Linked DNA regions of Drosophila melanogaster. The protein of the gene in region 1 interacts with the protein of each later gene in a pairwise test. Each region holds a gene or a part of one and is shown on either strand. Other genes may lie near its edges.

Region 1 (3,684 bases):
CGGGGAGGAAGCTGCGCAGTGGTCCACTCCATTGATCCCGTTCTCCAGTGGTGACGGTTCCGTTTCCGCCAACAGCTGCCGGAGCTGCAGTGTTGAATCCTCGCTCTCCGCATCCGAATCCGATTCAGAATCGGAGCCACCACTGGCGTCGCTGCTGCTACCGTCGCCATCGCTCTCGTCCTTCGATCCGTCCGAGCAGTTGTCGATGTCCGGCAGGAAGTCGCTATCCGAGGAACTCTCGCCCAAGTCAAAATCGAGCAGGGCCTGCGTAGTAATCTTCGGCTGCCGCGCTCGCTTCATGATTCAACGCTTATTTAGTCCGCAATTGTCTGCACAATCTCCGAAAGTCTCGGGCCAAGGCAGAAACTATCGACAGTCGATAGGCCGACATGGCGATGACACGGACAGAATAGTATTCCGTCTGTATATCGATAAAATACATCTGTTGTAAGGATATTAGGGATATTTTGTAAAAATGTATCCTTTATTTTGAATCCTTTGTTAAGAAATGTAGATTCAGGAGCATAAAAGTTTATAGCAGGCTCAAAAACAATAATACGCTACAAGTCAGGCTTTTATATTTTTTGCTTATATCTAAGCTGTAATTATAGTAAGCTATAAATATAGTAGATAAGTATCCTAAAAGACTTCCAGCTGCTCAATGGGCAGCCACTTAGAGCTCTCCAGAGCATCGTACAGACGGCGGTCGGCATCAATGGCCTCTCGGTTCAGTTTGTCCACATCCAGGACGAACTTGTGCTCCACCAGTCCGTTCTCATCCTCAGCTCCATTGGCGGCGGAAGCGGTCTGCTGCTGCTGCTGCTGCTCGTACTGGGCGCTGCGTTGTGCGCTCCAGGCCTCGGCGTGCTGGGCCAGAGTCTGCGGATTAGAGTGCGACTGCGACATGGCCTGCTGGTAGTATGCAGCCGCATCTGTGATCGAAGCACCGGCCTGCTCGTAGTAACCTTGCCAGGCCTGGTATCCCTGCCAATAGGTGCTGGTGGGGTCGTAGTACTGCGAGTAGTCGGTGCCACCTGCTGCAGTCATACCGCTTCCATATCCATAGTTTGTGTTGCCTTCGCCCACAGCACCACCCAACTCGGATTTGGGTTTGGGCACGGCATTGCAAATCTTTATGGGCTTGGTACCCAATCCGATGTACCCGTTCATGTCGTACAGCGCTGATTTCTGCTCATCCTCGATGCCAAATCGCACAAAGCCGTAACCCTTGGAAAACCCCAGGCTGTCCAAGATCACCTTGGCGGTTTTGATCGATGTGAACTTGCTGGAGAACACCTTGTACAGCTGATAGTCGTCCACGTCCGAGCTGAGGTCGCCCACCCAGACGCTAAATTCGCGTTCATTCCCGGGCAGCTTGTACGAGTTGCTGGCCGAGTTAAGACGGAATCGCACAATGGGATTGGTGCCCGGAATGGGCTTACCGTTTAGCTTGTGCATCGCGTCCAGCGCATGGTCATCGGATATGAAGTTGACGAAGCAGTAGCCGGCCGGTTCGCCCGTGTACTTGTTGCGCATCAGGCGCACCGTGGTGGGATCTTCGCCCATCTTCCGGAAAGCGGCGATTATGAAGTTCTCCGTCATGTAGGACTCCAGCTGAAATGGCCATGCGGGCTTAAAGGGTCATGTGTCTGGGGTAATGCACGTTGCTACTTACGCTTCCCATCCACAGTTGACAATGCACGGACGCCATAATTGTTCAAATACGTGTTCAATTGAATATTTTCCAGAGACAAATGATGTTTACCAAAACAAATGAGTGACTGGCCGTCAAGCATTTATCGGTATTTATCGATGTGGGCCAATCAAATGCTGACCTGGTGTCAGCCAAGACAATTGCCTTGGTTCTTGTCTTTGGAATGGATATTCAAACGATGCAACTAATGGTTCGCGTCTCTGGTGAGTTAGACGTTATTTTAGTTTGAGCCAAAAAGTAATTTGTTTTTAAAAAACAATAATACCAATATGTAATCCAAGACAGTTTGACAACCCTGCGTAGTACCGACATTTAAATAGACTTACTTCCTGAACATTTCAAAATCGCAAAAGTGGTGCCAAAATGGGTATTACTCTGTTCCGATTGGCCAGTTTTACTCCAAAACTGAAGGAGCTGCGAATCATTCTGGATCCCAAAGGAGACACTTCCAAGGGAGTCAGGTGAAATTGTCATTTTCCGCTTTTAAATTATATAATTTGCTAAAGCAGCGTTCCTTTACAGGGAATACGTGGAAAGGTTCTATCCAAACCTGAAGAAGAGCAATCCCGACCTGCCGATCCTCGTGCGCGAGTGCTCTGGCGTCCAGCCCCGCCTCTACGCCCGCTATGGTGAGTAGATTAGCATAATGTGCGCTGCTAGCTTCCCCCACATCGATTCCCATGTCCGCAGGCAACGGCAAGGAAGTGTCCCTCTCCCTGGCCAACCACGCTGCTCCTGACATACACAAAAACCTGGAAGCGGTTGGCAAATAGAACTTACGCTGGAAAACTATGTAGATTAGGCGCAAAATAAAGGCAAAGCCAGATGCTTTATGCACACATACGTATACGTGTATATGGGATAACATTTACACTTAAATTCATTTTCTTGGTAGGTACATCGATTTCCAATTACAGCAATAGCATCTTTTAGCTACAAAAAGTACGTCAGCCATTAAGTTCAATCCGTGAAGGCGGGCAGCCCGAACTGCTCCGGCTTGAAGTCCGCCAACGAGGCCAGCACTTGTGTGGCGTGCGAGGTCTTTTCCTGGGACAGTCGTGGGTCCGGCACCATCACCACCTGCATTCCGGCGCTGTTGGCAGCCGTCACGCCGTTCGGCGAGTCCTCGAACACCAGGCAGTCGGACGGTTTGGGCGGCACACCGAATCTGCCGGCGGCCACTAGGAAAATGTCGGGCGCAGGCTTGCCGTTGACCACCTCCTTGTCCGACGAACCGCACACCTTGTGGTTAAACAGGGAGAACAGCTCCCGATGTTGGGCCGTCTTCAGCTCGACCATGTCGGCGCCGGAGCTGGTGGCCAAGCAAAAGGGTACCTTGTTGGCGTGCAGGTGACGCAGCAGGCGCTCAGCACCTTGAACGGGGAAGGAAGCACACGATTAACAAACGGCTTTAATCACAGTAGGATAGTAATTGAAGCAGAAGTATTTATAGGGAGAAATGCCGATTAGTTTTCTGGTCGTGGTGCTAACCTTCCAGCAGGGGTACGTTGTGGAATCGCTCGTGGCACATTTGCGAGTACCGCTTGAGATAGTCTCCGGTTGTGATGGGCAGCTGGCACTCGGTGATGGCTATCTCTGCCGAGCGCTGGTCCGTGGTGCCCATTACCCGGAAACGCACTTCCTCCGGATACGGGCGGCCAAAGGAGGCGGCTATTTGCCGGGTGACCTCCTCGTATATCCTCTCCGTGTCTGAAACGTGACGGCAAAGCGAGAACTGGGATTAGTACCTGGCATCAACTGGGCGTTCCGCATCAGGATCTCGGTGTTGGCGCGCTGCTGGCGTGCGTACTCCTCCCACGACATCGGCAGCTCGTAGTGCTCGACCATGAACCGGGCCAGCGGTTCCGTCTGCAGGCCCATGACCTGCTCCTTGATCTCAAAGGGATATGTCTTGCCGTAGGGCTCGAGGATCATTTCGGTGGCCACAGTATAAAGGCGTTCGGTGTCTG
Region 2 (7,568 bases), on another chromosome or scaffold:
ACCACAGTCCGCTTAGAGATCGGAAACAGGCTGCGTCTGCGATCATTCAATAGTCCTGTGACAACGCCAACGTTCAAGGAAAACGGTCATTCAATACTGGTGAATGCCAAGAAACTGCTTTACTATGCCGCCGAGACCAACACCAAACCGGGCTTCATCAAGGAACCTGGATTCTCCGCGGACGGTCGGGTTGTCTGCTCGCCGTACGGCAATGGGGTAAGACTCTTTGGTTACAGTGAGGACTGCTGCGACTATCCGAAATGTCAGGCGTTTGAGGAGGTGAAAAGCAAACCGCGGAAACTGGTTGAGCTAGCCAAGATCACCGAACACCAGGACGTCGTTCTGTGCGCCAAGTTTAGCCCCAGGGAACCGCTCCTTGTAACCGGATGCAACGGGGGCGAGGTGACCTGGTATCGACCCAACCTGTAGACTTCAGTTGAGCCGGGCGAAGAGCGCGCTCACTGTCAATCTGTATATTTAATTTTCTATTTAGGCATAATTCGACTTATTTCAAGCATATATTGGCTAAATACAAGCAACGCGATTATGGTGGACCGATAAAAAGCTGGTATATTTTATTTTTCGCAATGGTGGGGTTATTTTGTGGGCTCAAATAGGGGTTGATAAAAAATTACAATTAGATGTGTACAACTTAACAGAGCAGCAAGGCAAAACTAAACAAGCCGTAGCGTCTTAGAGCTACAGGTGGCGGAGTGGGTTACATCTAGGCAGCGAACTTAATAGTAGTTGCCATAACCGCTCCACTGGCCGTAGTTGTAGCCGCTACCACCACTGTTGGCGCTGGCCCCACCGGAACCGTAGCCCCACTGATTGTAGTAAGAGTCGTAGGACGCCTGTTGTGGCGTCTGTGAGGGATAGGCTGCTGCGGTATTCTGCTGACCATAGTATGGATTTGCTGCTCCATAGTTGTAGCCTGCGACTGCTGCGGCCGAGCCACCATTGTTGTAAGCTGCCGCCGCGGATCCTGTGGGGACAGGACCTTCTTTGCTGCTTGATGAGTTTTTGCGACTAGGACTGCCATCACTATTGGAATGTCCATGATTAATGAATGAGTGTGGATACATCTTCATGGATTTCTTACCTTTTCTTTTGCGCTTCCTTGGCTTTAGTGAGTGCCTGCTGCAGAGCGCGCTGTGCGTCTTGTAGACCCCTGGCCGTGCTGCCGAAATCCTCAAGGAACTCCACTTTGCGCTGGGCAAACAAAACCTTCTGATCGGGTTCGATGTCCGCACGAGCCATGAACTTATCCATAATTTCGACTACCTCCTGCTCATCGACTTTTGGGCGCTGTAGGCACAAATCGATCATTTGCAGGGCCACACGAGTGTTGGCTGGATCACGTTCCAGCGCCTGCTGCAGGGCGGCCAAGCCGGCGTCGAGATCATGACAGATTTTATTGAGGAAACGGGCATACTTGATGGCCAGACTGCCGGCAATGCCCTTGTTCTTTGTACTCTCTATATAGTGCTTGTACAGCTCGCGACACTTGTCCAGTGCTCCTCGACGCCTTTCCACGTTGATACGACGATAGGAAAGCTGCAGGAGATTGGGGCAGCGCTGATCGATACGCTGCAAAATTTCAGCGGCGTCGTCAAAGTTCATCTGGCATTCCTCGAAGGCGGCCCACATCAGGTGCAGACTCGGTTTGTCCGGATGATGGATGCGACAGGCGCGGCGGTAAACATCACGTACCAGATCCACAACTCCGCTCTGATCCTCCAAAGACTCTAAATAACGAAGCATCTTCAGCCAGAACTCGTCATACAAAGCACAGGCGATTAGGCACCTTTCGAACAAAACCAGGACTCGCTCGCGATCACCCTTTTCGATCTCGAAATCCAAGTAGTCCTTCCAATTCTTGAGCTGTGCCCTCTCGAGTGGCTTCACATGGAAATAAGGCCGCTTGATGCCCTCCTCGAAGGACCAGCGGGCTGTCACTGCGCTAACGGTCAACTTGTGGACTTTGCGCCGCGCCGAGATAGCCCTGTCCCTAATGCTGACCACCTCTTCGTCATTCAGAGTGCTAAGATCACTGAAATCGATCTGCATTGCCGGCTTTGAAGCTGCATGCGATGACTCGCTTTCGGTGGTCAGATCGGTAGTACTATCTGATTCATCGACTTGAGTTTCACTTGTATCTTTTGGCGACTTACCAACACCGCCCCCGACAGTTTCTCGCTTCTCCTTGTCCTTGTCTTTGTCCTTATCCTTGTCCTTCTCACGTTCTCGCTCCTTTGAGTCTTTGTCCTTGGAGCTGCTGCTGCTGTCCCGGCGATGCTTCGACGAGGACTTGGAGGACTTGCTCTGCTGACGTTCGTGGAAGTCTTTGCGCAGACGGATCACCTCCTCGTTTGCAAGTGTGATAGTTACATCATGCTGATTGATCAAATCTTGGAAACTGAAATGTGCATGTACATTATTCGCATGTTTCACAAAACCAATTTGAGTGGAACTCACTTGTCGAAGTGACCATTATAGCCCTGTGTCGGTATGGCCAGAAGTCTATCGTAGATCTGGACCACACGGTGGTACCGCTTTGACTCGTTCTCCCAACGAATGTAGGCATCCCAGAGTTTGTCCGATCGAAATTCCAGGCCGCACGCCTTCACTGCCCTTTCATACTGGGAGCGGACGAATGTTTCATCATCTCCGTGATTGGACTTAACGTGCATTAGGTAGTGGATCCACAGATCCACGGACAGCGGAATCGCCTCCAGTCCGCGCTCAAACACCTAGGATTTGGTCATTTCGTATGTTCGGTACAAGTTTTGATTTTTTCATTTATTGTTGATTGATCGCAGAAGAGAAATATAAAAATATATTCGTGGTTTATAGTAAGATTTCAAGAGTTAAGTGCTCAGATACTTAAGGTTATCGTTTTGATGTGAATGGTGTTCGGGCTTAAAAGCTAACTTAGCGACTTAACAAGTACACGGAATACATAACACACAGGTTGTAGTTGATTTCTTTTTTGGCACTCGATTTACAACAAAATTCACAAAGAGACTTAAAAATTTCATTTAAACGCCATTTGTACTTACGACTGTACGAGATGCGATCTCACTATTTATATCGTGTTGAAGAAGGATGGAGGTAACGTAACTGAAGAGGTAACTGGTGATACAAACGTACGAAGATCAGAAAGTAGACGGATCGTACTTCGAGTAGACGAACCAGTCGCTTTCGGGTTCAGGTCGGTCTGGGGTTCGAGGGTCAACAGAGTTGAGCTAGTCTGTGCTGAGTTACAGCGTGATTTGTGCGACACAGGAGTGGCTTATGCTTAAACGGTCCAATTAGTGTCGTGAAGATTAAGGACAATATCTCAGGGGCTAAGATCGCCAAAAAAAAAGTGCTAAGGTGTAGGGAGTACGGAGTGGTAAATAAGGTCGACGTCCGGTCTCGAAATTATGAATTTGGTGTAACTAAGGTTACAAAACAGAAACTACTTTAAAGAAACGTAAACAAATTTGGAGGCAATCTCTATACGCGACCCATTAAGTCCATTTACTTAGCTTAGCCTTTGAAACAAATTGCCAAGCTCCCCCATAAAGCTTTCACCATCTAAAAAAATTAAATCCGTACCCTTTTTAGATTCATCTCCCGTAAAAAGTATTTAGCAGACACGAACCCTATGAGAAAACACGATCCTAAGTGGATGCTGCACTAGTCTCATGGCAAGTTTGGTTTTGTCTTCTCAATTTGGTGTATTTTGGTAGATGTTGCATTTATTGAATGTAGTATTTTTATTAGGTCATAATAAATTGCATTTAACAACAAATATATGAATATCAATTGTAATCGTAATTGTAAGCGTAGTACAAGAAATTGCGAAAGATATTTATTTGCACGACCAAATGTAAGTGGGGTACTCACCTTATAGCAGTTTGCCTTGATGCCCTTGCGCTTCTCGTAGTCGGCATACTTGCGCCAATATCCGTAGCAGTAAGGATAGTGGGACAGGAATGTGTCGTAGGCCTCGCGCGCCGCCTCCGCATCAGACTGTTGAGAAAGAAGAAAATTGCTTATTTAAAGTTCAAGATATGCGGCGTTCGGCTAAATAACCACCTCATTGTCAACATATTGCAGCAAGTACGTCCAGCCGGTGAAGTCGGTGGAGTCTTCTTTGACAGCTCTCCAGTACTTATCTAGGTCCGGCAGCTTCTTTCGCTCCTTTTCCTTATCCTTATTATTATCTTTGTCCTTATCCTTCTCCTTATCTTTATCGCGCTCCTTTTCCTTCTTTTTCTCCTTGGGCTCCGATTCTGTGGGTTTAAATATTGTGAGTCAAGCTCTACCAACTAATTAGTCATTGGAAGATTAACAATTACCTTCGACCTTGAGTTTTTTCTCTGAGGGCTGTGCGTCGTTGCTCTCAGATGTGGGACTGCCCGGATTATATTGCTCGGAGGATTTATCCTTTGTGCTTGATTCATGACTGCTTGCATCCTTATCTTCGGTGCTCTTAACGCTTTCGTTTTCCGCCTTGCGCTTCAAAGGTGCCTTGGGCTCAGTGGCGGTGTTATTGTTATTACTGGCGGGCAGTTCATCCTCCGAGATTACTTCAGCATCCTCTGGCAATTCAGCCCGCTGCGGTGCTGGAAGCTCTTCATCGGAAACTTCCTCGGCATCATTTATTTCAGGCTTGCTGGGCAGAGGTAGCTCATCCTCGGAGACTATCTCTGTGTTGACAATGGTTGCATTGCTGGTGTCCGCATCGGCCAGATCCTCGGCAATGGCATGTTGTGAGCTGGAGTCCTCAGAGGAATTCATTTTCTCCATCTGCGGCTGCAGGGAGTCTACATTGTACTCAAAGTCCGCCTTCTTGACATTGTCACTCTCGTCATTTCCACCCACGGAGGGCAGGCTGTTGGCATTATCGCCGGCTAAAGAAGCCAGTAGGGTGTCCACGCCAGCCTGACCGCGTGTCTCTTTAATATCATCACTAGTCTCTGAATGCAGCTCCGCCACCGTGCCAAACGGGAAGGAAGAGCTCTTTTCATCAACCCCAGCAGCTTCGGCTGGCAGCATTTCCACGTCATCCTCTATCTGGTGCTGAGTCTCCTCGAATTGGGGCTCCAAAGCAGGTGCCTCCGCAGTGTTTGTCCCTCTAAAGGGCTCCTCCTCTTCCTGAACCATGACCACTTGCTCTTCGGCCTCCTCTTCGTGGTCACTTAGCTGAAAGGATTAAAAGTCGTTAATGAAGGTTCCCGGCATTTCTCAGAGCATTTGTGGATGCTGTGCCTTCAGTTGGCCCTTGCAGGTAATCACTCGCTCCTCCAGGGAGAAGAATCATGTGCGGATGGAACAACGCCACACCCACACTGGAAATTGCAATCGTTTACATCATTGGCTGATGATCTGGAAGAGGCGGTAACTACGTGGGATGAACTGACCTGTACGTTCCGCTTGGATGTGCGCCGGGTGCTTCTGGTTGGCAGCGATGCAGCCGGGGATGCGGCCTTCCGACCAGAACGTGTGCGGCGACCTGGAAAACGTCAATTAACTTTCTTGGTTAATCCATGCGGTTTACATAAACTGTACGCGCGGTGTTGTGGGTTGTTCGCTGCCTCGTGATGTTCACTTTTTTCCAAATGCTTTAATGGGCTGCTCCAGCTAACTGTCAGTGTCAGCTACCGAAATGGGCTAGTAAGGACTGAATTTTTAATCAACGGTCACTAGGTCCGGTCGAAGGAATGCACGTATTTGTAATTTTTCATCAATTTACCTGGACTTTCCATAACAACGTTTTCGCCCTCTGACGCCATATTAACATTGCAACGTGGTATCGATATACATGTCCCGCCAATATCGATATCTCTTTGTTTGGTCAAGACTGACGACTGACTCATAGCTATATTTTGAATATTTTTCAGAGGTTTTTCGAATTTCGATATTTATCATTTTTTAGCATTGATGAATGAATTATATACAATCTATCAAAAAATATAATTTAATAACGAAAATAGCCTAAGTGCTCAGTGTTTTTCCAGTTCGGCGAACTAGTTCATTTTTTGGCGTGCGCATGCAGAACCTATCTCAACATACAAATTCTAGCAGAAATTACATGTTCCAGCTAGAAATATAATTTAAATATTTTATGGTAAGAGGACTTTAAATATCACCATAAATAATTCTTAATGAAAGAAGATAAAATTTGTTTAATGTTACACATATTATAAATTAGTGGGTTATTAAGTTAACATAAAAAACATAAACAAATAACACAATCATTGGGCCTACTTCCTTTAATATTTAGGGTTTGAATGTTCAATGCATAGGATTTTAAAAGCCCAAAAAATTGTTATAGTTTCTATACAACATAATCGTGAATTATATCAAGTAAATACAAACATGTAAATGGAATTGGTAAGTAAAATGTTTCCTTGTCGGACAAGATTTCTTTTTGAGTCAAGAAATCTCTTTAAATGTTATTTAGAATGGTGAATCCAGTCGTGAATTAAATATAGCTAATAACCCGCCTGGCGAGCATCACTCTTAGCGGGACTGCCACTCGTGCGCGTCTTCTAACACTGTTCTCAAAATGGCGACTCGAGAATTGTAAGCGTGACAAAAACAACAAAGCCAAGGCGCATTTCACAATAATTAAATGTTTTTCGATCAATTGCGGCGCGTTTAATACAACGAAAGCGATCGCGATGAGTGAATTGGGGACCCAGTGACCGGGCAACGGCGACCAGTGAACGCAAAGCGTCAGCGGCGCGGCGAACAAAGACAAAATACGGCGAGCGAAAACGCCGACCGCATAACCTGTACGTGTAAGCAAGGCAAGGCGAATGGAAGGCGGCAAGGGCGAGGGCAAGAGAATGAAAGAGGAGGCGCCAAGCAAGAAGTTGCCGCCTAAAATCTACGGCGGCGATGCGGGCACCCCCACGAAGGCGGCCCACGACGAGATACTCAGCTCTCTGCTGCGGATCAACAACTTCGACTCGATATCGAGCATCAAGGACGAGTCGCTGGACATCGATCTGTCGGCGTGCGTGACCATCAGCTCCGCCAGCCTGGTCAATGGTAACAGTCTCTCCTCCACCGACTTTTGGCGCGTTTTGGACGAGAGTGCCCAGAACAACACCGAGCTGAATCTATCCTCGGACGTCTGCCGCGATGACTTGGCTGCCACCAGCTCGTCAACCGTGCCCAGCACTCTGACCAGTGATAACCACTCCAGCTCGGAGTTTAGTGTGACTTTCCTGCGGCCCGAGCCCCCGAATGCTTTCACTAATTCCCCGTTTAAGAAGACTTCGTCCAGCGGCACCTCCACACCCGTAAAGCTATCGCCCGAGCAGCTCCACCAGCAGCATCAGCTCCAAATGCCCCAGTCTCAGCTGCTGCAACGCAAGCCAAAGCTGCCGGCGGCGACGGCGGTGCGTCTGAAGGTCTTTAAGGAGGAGCCGCCCGAGGAGAAGCATCCGCCGGAGCAAGTGGTCACCAAGGTAGAGGTGTGCGAGTCTGAGCTGCTGCCGCCATCGTTTACCATATTCCAGCAGGCCAAATCGGCTGAATCGGTGGCGGATGCGGCTAGCATGCCG
Region 3 (4,628 bases), on another chromosome or scaffold:
CGCAAGGACCACTTTTGGCCAAGGAGTCAGCCCAGGACGACATGTGCTTGATTGAACCTCCGACGCGCAGCGCCTGCCTTTGTTTTTCTAGGGAACACTTAGCGCGAGCCGCGGCAATTAAACGGCAAACTGAGCGCACACAAAAATTAGTGCTTACGCATCTTGCCTCAGACGGCGGCCAGGTAGACCGCGTCCAGTCCTCAGTCCTTGCCACAGGACCAAGCTGGACGAGGCAGAGCAAGGCGACACCCAACGACAGGCGACTACTAGCGGCCAATGTGGGAATCAAAGTGCGTAATTGAGTCGCTTAAAAGCGCCAAATGGTTTCATGAATGTACCGCTCTCACCAGGCTCACCAGGTAGACGCTCGCCTTTCAAATGCGAAAGGAAGTACAAATAAATCCTAGCGCCAGCCATAAACGGATCAACTGCGCCGATCTCAATCCGCTGGTCTCCGCTCCTGCTCATCGACAAGTTCTGCGCTCGCTAATTATTCCTGAATGCGGGTTTTATTGATGCAATATAAATAATGCAAATGCAATTTGTGGTGCATGCAGACAAGGGGGTGGTCCCTAAAAAATGTGCCATCTAAGTAAGCCATTGCCACTGTCGCTGCCACTGCAGCTGCGGAAGACCAGCATTGAGTTTTCGACGGGTAATTATGTAATATGCATAATGACAATAAATAAAGTTAGTCGAAATATACATATGTATGTATGTAGGTAACCAGGGAAAAGATTAGGTTGAATGTGGAATTAGCTTTATTTAAATTAAATCAACAAAAAATGCACAAGGTGAAGAAGTAGTTCTATATATTATATCAATTTTTCACATTTAAAATATGTGACTTGTCATACAATTTACCAAATATTTATAAGTAGGGAAGTTTTGTGCCTTCTGTGCTATAATACAAATATAACTTTGATACATTCCATCAAATTTTATAGAAAATAGCTATTGAAAAAATAGCTAATTGAAAATGACTAGCGAAATGAATGGAAATTAAATAGTTTTTTATTTTCTTAAAATATAGCTATGCCTTAATATTCAAGGCTAAAAAGCAGTAGGTAATCAATCGTTCAAGGGCTTACCTACTATTTTAAAAATACTAATGTCAATTTTAAAGTTATTCTCTTCATGACATGAAGCTTACTACTATTCTTTTGCTAAAAGGTGATGGCCATATGCTATTCACAACCTGCTTGCTCTATTTTAAAAATGTTCGTTACAAAAAGACTTTTGGGTAAAATTGTTACCCTACTTCAATTTTACATGTAGACACTTAACCGAGAAAAAAGCAGTAGAAATTGATATACGAAGCAGGGTAAAGAAGTTCAAATCTAATGCCAAAGCAGTTACAAACCAGTACAACGGTTATTTAGCCCAGACGCAAACCAGAATCAGGAAGTAAAGTAATGTAAAGTAAAGTTTTCAACCGGAAGAAGGAAATGTTCGTTCTTATAAGAAGTTATTTCAAGCGAAACCCACACAAAACTAATTAGAATTACGAAAGTTTTTTAAGCAAATTACAATTTTTATATATTTTATTTGCTACAATGAACAGACTAGCACAACACAATACATATTTCAATTTCTGTCACATCTAGCCGTTAAAATATATATTTTTCTACAAACACCGTAGTTATAGAAACGAAGTTTCTTGTTTATTATTTTAAAGAGCCGGCAATTGTAACCACGCCAAAATGCCGAAAGTACTGTTTCAGAAGTACAAGAAGGTGGTGAGCAACATCGACCCGAGTCGCTATAGCGCCAAGTTCAAGGAAATCGACGAGCAGAGGCGCTCGCAAGGTTCGGAATCGGATTTTGCAGATGAAATGGAGGGCGAGTTCGAGGCGGAAATGGAGGAAATGGGATCTAGTGAATTTAGTTTATCCGAAGGAGAACCATCGCTCAATATCGGAAAGATCGATTTATCCTTTCCCGAAACAGTCGAGGAGTTCGAAAACAGTCCCCAGTGCTATCCTCCATCGTACTATACCCTCTCGCCCAAGGAGCGGTTGCTCCTGCTGTACGCTGAGAATTTCCGGAAGCAATTGGTTCTCAGCTACCCAAAGAGACGAGCCATGGTCTTGGCCCTGCCCAACGAATGCAAAGTACAGGTGAAGTCAGCACCATCTGCTCCTTTAGTGGCCAGCGTTTTGATAAATTGCCACTCTTAACCAACTTACAGAAATTCGTTTGCACCACCATCAGGCCAACGGCGTTTATTTACACGCAACTCATATCAAGTGTCGAGGAAATTGCCAAGTTTGTCGCCGATTTCATTCAGTATGAGCCACTGCAGGATCCCATAAATTTGGTAAGTCTATTATGGCAAAGTTGAACCAATCACATATCCATTATTCTTATGTTCCGAGCTCATGTAGCAATATATTTAAAAGTTTATGCGTTCTAAAATGTTCAATAACTTGACCAAGGCAATTTATACTTGTAAATATAAAAGTAAAACATTTAGGTATTTTAGTAGATATATATGAAAAACCACTTAGACCCTCCAATACGACAGCGGTAAGTAAATACGACGACAGTTCTAAGAGTTTCATAAAAATTATCTAATTATTTTTTATTGAACATGTATTTAAAATTACATTTAAATTTGTAAATGTTTTTATTTAAATATCGCATTAATTCCGAATTAAGAAAATTCTTTTGAGCACATTTCCATAGTTATTAATATACGAAATTTAAAAACGTTTGATATCAAATGCATGCCATTCGCGCCAACACACCTTGCAGTTCGAAAAGTATTTTTTCTTTTTCGTAACAAAAACTAAGGGCTATAACATTTTTCTAGAATGCATCATTGGGTGAAAAAACAAACTAACAAAACAGAGTCGGTTGTCTTTCCGTTCAAAAAGAAATGCATAATAGCTACAAATAGAGTTTCTCGATATATACACGTTAACCGTACGATTAATTAATTAATACAATGCAATGCAATGCAATGGAGTGGATTCGAATTGAATTGAAAGATACTGAAAGTATGCTCGATAGGTTTCACAGCTAGGAGATAAATTCAGTGGAGTCCTCCGGATGCGTGGAACCATGTGGTCTAACTGCTGGAGCTCAGTTCGTCGTACTGCTGGTACTCGCCCGTGATCTGGCAGTCGTCGGGGTCATCGTCGAGGTCACAATGTACAAATTCGTAGGGAGGGAAGAACAGGGAGCTGAGTAGGGTGGCCGACGATCGGTAGACGGCCGGCGCATAGACATGGCACCTCGTCGAGCCCTCGGCGGTATCTGCATTTGCATCTGTAGCCAGGACACCGGGTCCTGGCTCTGCATCGTGCAGAGCACCGTCTGGGCTATCCTCTATCTCTGTATCCGTGGCTGGCTCCGTGGGCGCCAACTTTGGCTTTTCCTATTTGCGACGGCGACTCTTGCCCCGCCCACTGCCCTCCTCCTCCGCGGCGTGCTCCTCGCTGTCCTCCGGCAAAGCGGATTTCTCGATCATCGGTGTCTCGTTGCCCGACTTGATGGCGGCTATTAGGAAACGAAGTTGCATCAGCTGCACGGCCGTCACGCGGGGATTGCTGCAATTCTCCAGCCACTGCAGGAACTTTTCGCCATGGCGGATGGCCTCGATATCCTCGTCCGCCGTGCAGTCCAGATACTTGGCCTTCTCCTCCTCGTCCGTTTTGTTTGAGTTATTATTGTTATTGTTATTGCTGGCGCTCACATCGTTGTTGTTCGTATGCGGATTGCTGGTGTCCTGGAAGCTGCCCTCCGATTCGGAGGATCCCTGTTCCGGCATCAACGGACCAGTGGCCTCCATTCCGCCCATCTTGAAGAGCATATTGTCTAGGATCTTCTTGCATTCGCTTGTGGAATTCGTGGTCTCTGGGGTTTTGGTCTTCGCCTTTGGTTCGGGACTCCTGCTGCCTGATGAATGGGCAATGGGACTTTGCGAAGGGGTCATCACTTTGCCGGCGGCTGAGAGATCCTCCGGTTTCCCGGATGCCTCCGGCTCCACTTCGCCATCGAGATCGGTTTCGGTGGCCTCGTCAGCCTCGGGATTCTGTTCGTTGGAGGACAAACTTCTCACCGACGGCGTCTCAGTCTCTTTCGTGAGATGGGAGTACAGTATGTTCGAGGGATCTCCCATGGATCCCCCCTCTGCGGCCGTGGTGGCCACCTGCTGCTGCAGTTGGTTGGCTTGCAGGGCGGCCAAGGTGGCGGCATTGGGATTCAGGGTATGCAGACTGGCACCGAACGCCTTGCACCAGTTGTACCACGCCGCGTTCTTCTCGTCCAGACTGCCCGACGGTGTGGACGAGGGTGTTAGCGGAGCCGAGGGTATCGGCGGAGTCTGTGCCAACTGACTCATGTGCTGCGGCGTGGAAGATCTGATAGGGGGACTGGTCACGCCCATGGGAATTGTGGGCGGATAAAGGGGATTCAGACCCAACATGGTCTGCTGCGACTTGAGCCAGTAGAGCAAGGGATCTTCGGCCAGATTGGAGAGCGTCATGGGCCCGCCCATTTGCGAAGGAGCAATCGAAGGACTGGGACTCTTGATATCGCCTCCCTTGCCCTCGTTCTTGATGCTCAGATTGAGGCTGCCCTGGCCCTCCCCCGGCTTCTGTTTGGCCCAGTTCTTTACCGAC
Region 4 (4,721 bases), on another chromosome or scaffold:
TTTATATATTGTTGAGCGTGTGTTCTTTTCCTCATTTACAGAATATTTTATGATCTGAACGTTTTTTTTTTATATTTGAATTTCAAATAATTACCTTTATGGACCTATCGGTGTTGCTAAGAAATCGATAAATGTAAAAAATACCAGGCCTAACCGTTGTGTTTTGGCGCCCAAGAAACGGCCACACTACAGCCCCACGCTTCAATTTGTTTGTGCGAATTTGTGAAATTGCACATAAAATGCCGGAAGAACCAGAGAAAACGGCGGACGACAAGCGCAGTCACTTGCCGTGGATTGAGAAGTACCGCCCCGTGAAGTTCAAGGAGATAGTGGGCAATGAGGATACCGTAGCAAGACTATCCGTATTCGCCACCCAGGGAAATGCACCCAATATTATTATTGCTGTGAGTTTGTGAGGAGTAAAATTAGTTTGGCGCCACTAATTGTGATCTATAGGGTCCTCCTGGCGTGGGCAAGACAACCACCATCCAGTGTCTGGCCAGGATTCTCCTGGGAGACAGCTACAAGGAGGCTGTCCTCGAGCTGAATGCCTCCAATGAACGAGGAATCGATGTGGTCCGCAACAAGATCAAGATGTTTGCTCAGCAGAAGGTGACACTGCCGCGGGGCAGGCACAAGATTGTGATTCTGGACGAGGCGGACAGCATGACGGAGGGTGCCCAGCAGGCACTGCGCCGGACCATGGAGATCTACAGCAGCACCACTCGTTTTGCCCTGGCCTGCAACACCAGCGAGAAGATCATAGAGCCTATCCAGTCCCGCTGCGCCATGCTACGATTCACCAAGCTGTCCGATGCGCAAGTTCTGGCCAAGCTCATCGAGGTGGCCAAGTGGGAGAAGCTTAACTACACGGAGGACGGACTTGAGGCCATCGTATTCACTGCCCAAGGTGATATGCGACAGGGACTGAACAACCTGCAGTCCACCGCTCAGGGATTTGGCGACATCACCGCTGAGAACGTCTTTAAGGTCTGCGACGAGCCGCACCCAAAGCTCCTAGAGGAGATGATCCACCATTGCGCTGCTAACGACATACACAAGGCCTACAAAATCCTGGCCAAGCTGTGGAAGCTGGGATACTCGCCGGAGGACATCATTGCGAACATATTCCGTGTCTGCAAGCGCATCAACATCGATGAGCATTTGAAGCTGGACTTTATCCGTGAGATCGGAATCACCCACATGAAGATTATCGATGGTATCAACTCGCTGCTGCAGCTCACCGCCCTTCTGGCCAAACTCTGCATTGCCGCCGAGAAGCATTAGATTTAATATGAACTATAGGTTAAAGAAATCTCAGAGATAAATAAAATTGGAGATAAATAAGTCCTTTTCAGTATTGAATACAAGTGTACCTAAATTTTAAACTGGGCACCGTTAGTTAACAGATTAATGTTAATTTCTATGTCAGCGCACTTAGAGCATATCGTCCCTAATGGAGTGTTAATTATTGCGCCCTTGGTATCGGAAGCTGAAATTATCATACAACATTAGATAATGTATTTATAGGACCGAATGATCATTAGTTTTTATACATAAAACCGGAGTTAGTTTTTATACATAAAAACCAATACGTTAGTTAACATTTCTAGTATTTTCGTAGAGCACACCACTATACAACAGTACGGTCGCATTAAGTAGATTATCGCAGCACTACAGAGCTGGCCACACTGTTTGCAGCGCTAAAGTAAAGTGAAATATGGCGAGTCTTGGGGGCCAACACGGAAATATTTCGACTAATCCAGAAGGTACGCATTGAAAACAACCCGCTGAGAGTGCGAAATCGAAGGACGAATGCCCCCGCGTCGAAAATCGGCCAGGATCTACGCGTTTTCGGGGCGTTTTCAGTGGCCAAAAAGTGCTGGTCGACTGCGCAGCAAAACGGCACTCACACCACGGCCAAAAAGCAAAAACGGAGTGAAGAGAGAAAAACGAAGAAAAAAAACAGCGAGGCGAGAGGCACAGAAAAGAAAAGAAGAGAAAAGCCGAGAAGCCAAAAGTGTCTGCCCCCTAGAAATGGGGGATATATGTATTTCGAGTTCCCCGATTCCGAACCGGAGTTTTGAGTTTATAAATAAGTTCCAGTCGGAAAAGTCGTTGGAACAAGAGAGAGGGAAACATACATTATTTTCTCGTACTTCTCACTGTCTCTCTCGCTTCGTCATCGCAGCTGCTGCCGTGCGCTTGTGTTCGTGCGTGTGTGTGTGTGTTTTTGTGTCCCCCTCCTTCCTCGCTCTTTCGCCTTCTTGTCACCTTTCCTTTTTGCCAAAACGCAACGGCAATTGATTTTCCCCACACACGAAAGCCAAAAGTCCGTGTAAAACTCCGGAAAATCGCAGCGAAACTCAATCGTCCATTTTTCTCGTACTTCTTTTGCAGTGGAAAACACAGCCAAGCGACCCGAAAGTCGCGAGGGCAGCGCCGAGCGAAAAGGTAAGCCTTCTATGCGGATTATCTTGCGAGTTACATAAAATCGGCACCAATGTATATCACACATACGCACTATATGTAATCGCTTTAACATCACCTATAACTCGAACCACAGCCCACGCATTCGCACCTGCCAAGATCTCGGGCTGCAGCGCCGGCGCAACCTTGCATTGGTTCGCCCAGGTGGGCGGTCAAATCTCCGCCAGTGAAGACGACTCTCAAGGTAGTTGGCATTCCATTCAGGCTGCTCCAAAGTCTTCCACAGCCACGCCCCGTTCTGTTCCGCCTCCAAAACGAATGCTCCGAATGTTTGCCGCATGATCTCACTAACAAATAAGACCCATAGTCCGCCTTATCGCGATTTTAACCGTCACTGGTCTATTGCAAGTCTTTCATAGCTGTTTTTCTAATAAGAAAATCTTCTTATCTATTCTCACCCAGTGACACGCTTTAAATCACTGTAGTTTCTAAACTGTCTAGATGTTACCCACTAAAGTGGGTTATTAAAAACTCAAAGCATCTTCAATTAACACCTAAAAGATCAAAATGTTATCTACACTTAAGGTCTAGCTTGATTTTAGATGGCAAGTCCAACTCTAATTATACAAATTTTAAAAATATGTATAGTCATATTTGACTAAATCATTGTGAGAATGCAAAACAAGGAATGATTAAGTTATTGGGAATTTGATCTTAATAACAATGTTCTCAAAGTTTGTTAAGTTAAATTGAACTACATGTTATTACGAGAGCAAAAAGGAAATGGATTTTATCAAGCGAAAAATCAATTGCAATGTTTTTGGCTTTCCAAAAACACAAGTAAATATGGCATACAGTGGGTTAAAATCCAGCAATTTTGCCTGCGACCTTGACAGCTGATAATTTCCCATTTGCAAGATATTTTCGCACCTGTAACTGGCAAAAAGATTGACTTGCAGTTGTTCCTTTGTCGTCTTGCTTACGTCATGGAATTCCAAAAATATCTTAACCGATAAGGCGATAAGAACCAGTTCCCAGTTCGATTATGCAGACTTTGGCAGCCAAACCGCATGCTACCAATATTATTGTTATTATTGTTAATTTTTTTTTTGCATTTTTCCGCCTCAATGTCATTTCAATAGAACAAAATGTGCGCCTGCATTAGCAATTTGCTTTCTATTTTCCTTTTATCATTTGTTTTTTTTGTTGTTCGCCCATTTTGCACATAGGCAAATTTGAAGCGGGGGCGGCGGTATTGTTGTCCGAGTATTTGTGCCATATTTGTTATTGTTGCTGCTGCTAGTTTGTCAATTGACCCACAAAATGCGAGTGTACATTGTCGATGACGTCAGCTCTCGGCTCTCATGTAAATAACTCGCCGGCAAAAGTCGAAAAATGGGGTATAATACTACACATATTAAGCAGATATTTATCGATTTTTGTTGGGCCACAGGTAGCAACTGATGAAAATATTCCCAGTTTTATTTGCTTGCGAACCGTAACTTGTTTATCCAAATTCAATTTATGCCCTTATAAGTATGTGCGAATTCGAATCTCTATTCATTTTGCTACGCTTTTAGCGTCCAAAGACCGTGAGGAGAAACTAAAATATGCCCGCGATCGCCAAAATGAGGAGCGCCACCGGAAAATCGAGGAACTGCGTGCCCAGGCGGAGGCCGCCCAGCGGTACCGTGAACAAAAGGAGGAGGAGCGCCGTCGACGCATCGAGGAGATCCGTACCCGGGACACAGAGAAGCGCCACCAGGTGGAGGAGCGCAAGAAGGCCATTTTCGAGGCCGAGAAGGAGCGCCGCGAGTACATCCTCAAAAAGAATCAGGTGCGTGCGTTATCGCTTCGATTCCAATGAACTTCTATTATAATTCTTGTTTTTGATCATCCACAGGAACGCGAGTCCCGGATAGAAGTGAAAAAACGGGACAGAAACTCCATCGGCTTCGCATTTGGCTCCTCGACTCCCCGCCTGCTGGATGTGCCCGCGGATTATGGTCTGGTATCGCCCAGTGCCTTTTGGGGTCAGCGGAGGTGAGATCCGAATGAAAGTTATCTGAGCACAAAGCCAAAAACTCACACAAAACGCGCACACTAATATGTAGCCATTCATGGCTATCTAGATTAGTATATATTTTGGCCGATTTCATATGTGCTTTGCGCTGCACATGACTAATTAGCGCTGCACTCTGACTGGCATTACTTAATTATTTTTATCAGTTCTTGAACTTTTAATGACGAAATTGTTTGCCAAAATATATAAATCACAATTAGTATAATTA

What was found.
Region 2: the proteins of Secp43 (region 1) and Prp39 interact in a two-hybrid assay, tested with the Drosophila melanogaster proteins (one large-scale study listed by BioGRID).
Region 3: the proteins of Secp43 (region 1) and lobo interact in a two-hybrid assay, tested with the Drosophila melanogaster proteins (one large-scale study listed by BioGRID).
Region 4: the proteins of Secp43 (region 1) and ens interact in a two-hybrid assay, tested with the Drosophila melanogaster proteins (one large-scale study listed by BioGRID).

Annotation. Positions count from the first base shown.
Region 1 is NT_033779.5:4,452,652-4,456,335, forward strand, and holds Secp43 (tRNA selenocysteine associated protein), read right to left. Parts: upstream 1,803-3,684; 5' UTR 1,712-1,802; coding exon 1,676-1,711; intron 1,615-1,675; coding exon 640-1,614; 3' UTR 518-639; downstream 1-517. Other genes in the region: CG15439 (uncharacterized protein), read right to left, coding at 1-300; ND-B8 (NADH dehydrogenase (ubiquinone) B8 subunit), read left to right, coding at 2,078-2,175, 2,237-2,343, 2,405-2,487; Gs1l (GS1-like), read right to left, coding at 2,675-3,087, 3,463-3,681.
Region 2 is NT_033777.3:28,810,333-28,817,900, reverse strand, and holds Prp39 (pre-mRNA processing factor 39), read right to left. Parts: upstream 5,800-7,568; 5' UTR 5,787-5,799; coding exon 5,747-5,786; intron 5,737-5,746; exon of another isoform or gene 5,507-5,736; coding exon 5,415-5,506; intron 5,334-5,414; exon of another isoform or gene 5,260-5,333; intron 5,197-5,259; coding exon 4,350-5,196; intron 4,284-4,349; coding exon 4,087-4,283; intron 4,021-4,086; coding exon 3,895-4,020; coding exon of another isoform or gene 3,691-3,894; exon of another isoform or gene 2,754-3,690; coding exon 2,479-2,753; intron 2,420-2,478; coding exon 1,103-2,419; exon of another isoform or gene 1,045-1,102; coding exon 738-1,044; 3' UTR 547-737; downstream 1-546. Other genes in the region: CG1523 (uncharacterized protein), read left to right, coding at 1-429; wdn (wings down), read left to right, coding at 6,816-7,568.
Region 3 is NT_033777.3:25,190,730-25,195,357, reverse strand, and holds the start of lobo (lost boys), read left to right. Parts: upstream 1-1,581; 5' UTR 1,582-1,703; coding exon 1,704-2,120; intron 2,121-2,191; coding exon 2,192-2,320; intron 2,321-2,551; exon of another isoform or gene 2,552-3,073; coding exon of another isoform or gene 3,074-4,628. Other genes in the region: dan (distal antenna), read right to left, coding at 3,383-4,628. UniProt on the Drosophila melanogaster protein: Key component of the nexin-dynein regulatory complex (N-DRC), essential for N-DRC integrity. Involved in the regulation of flagellar motility. Involved in sperm motility. Required for the sperm to enter in the coiled storage seminal receptacle (SR) tubule.
Region 4 is NT_037436.4:4,131,502-4,136,222, reverse strand, and holds the start of ens (ensconsin), read left to right. Parts: upstream 1-1,672; 5' UTR 1,673-1,720; coding exon 1,721-1,769; intron 1,770-2,400; coding exon 2,401-2,454; intron 2,455-2,566; coding exon 2,567-2,674; intron 2,675-4,010; coding exon 4,011-4,267; intron 4,268-4,333; coding exon 4,334-4,473; intron 4,474-4,721. Other genes in the region: RfC4 (replication factor C subunit 4), read left to right, coding at 240-404, 457-1,287.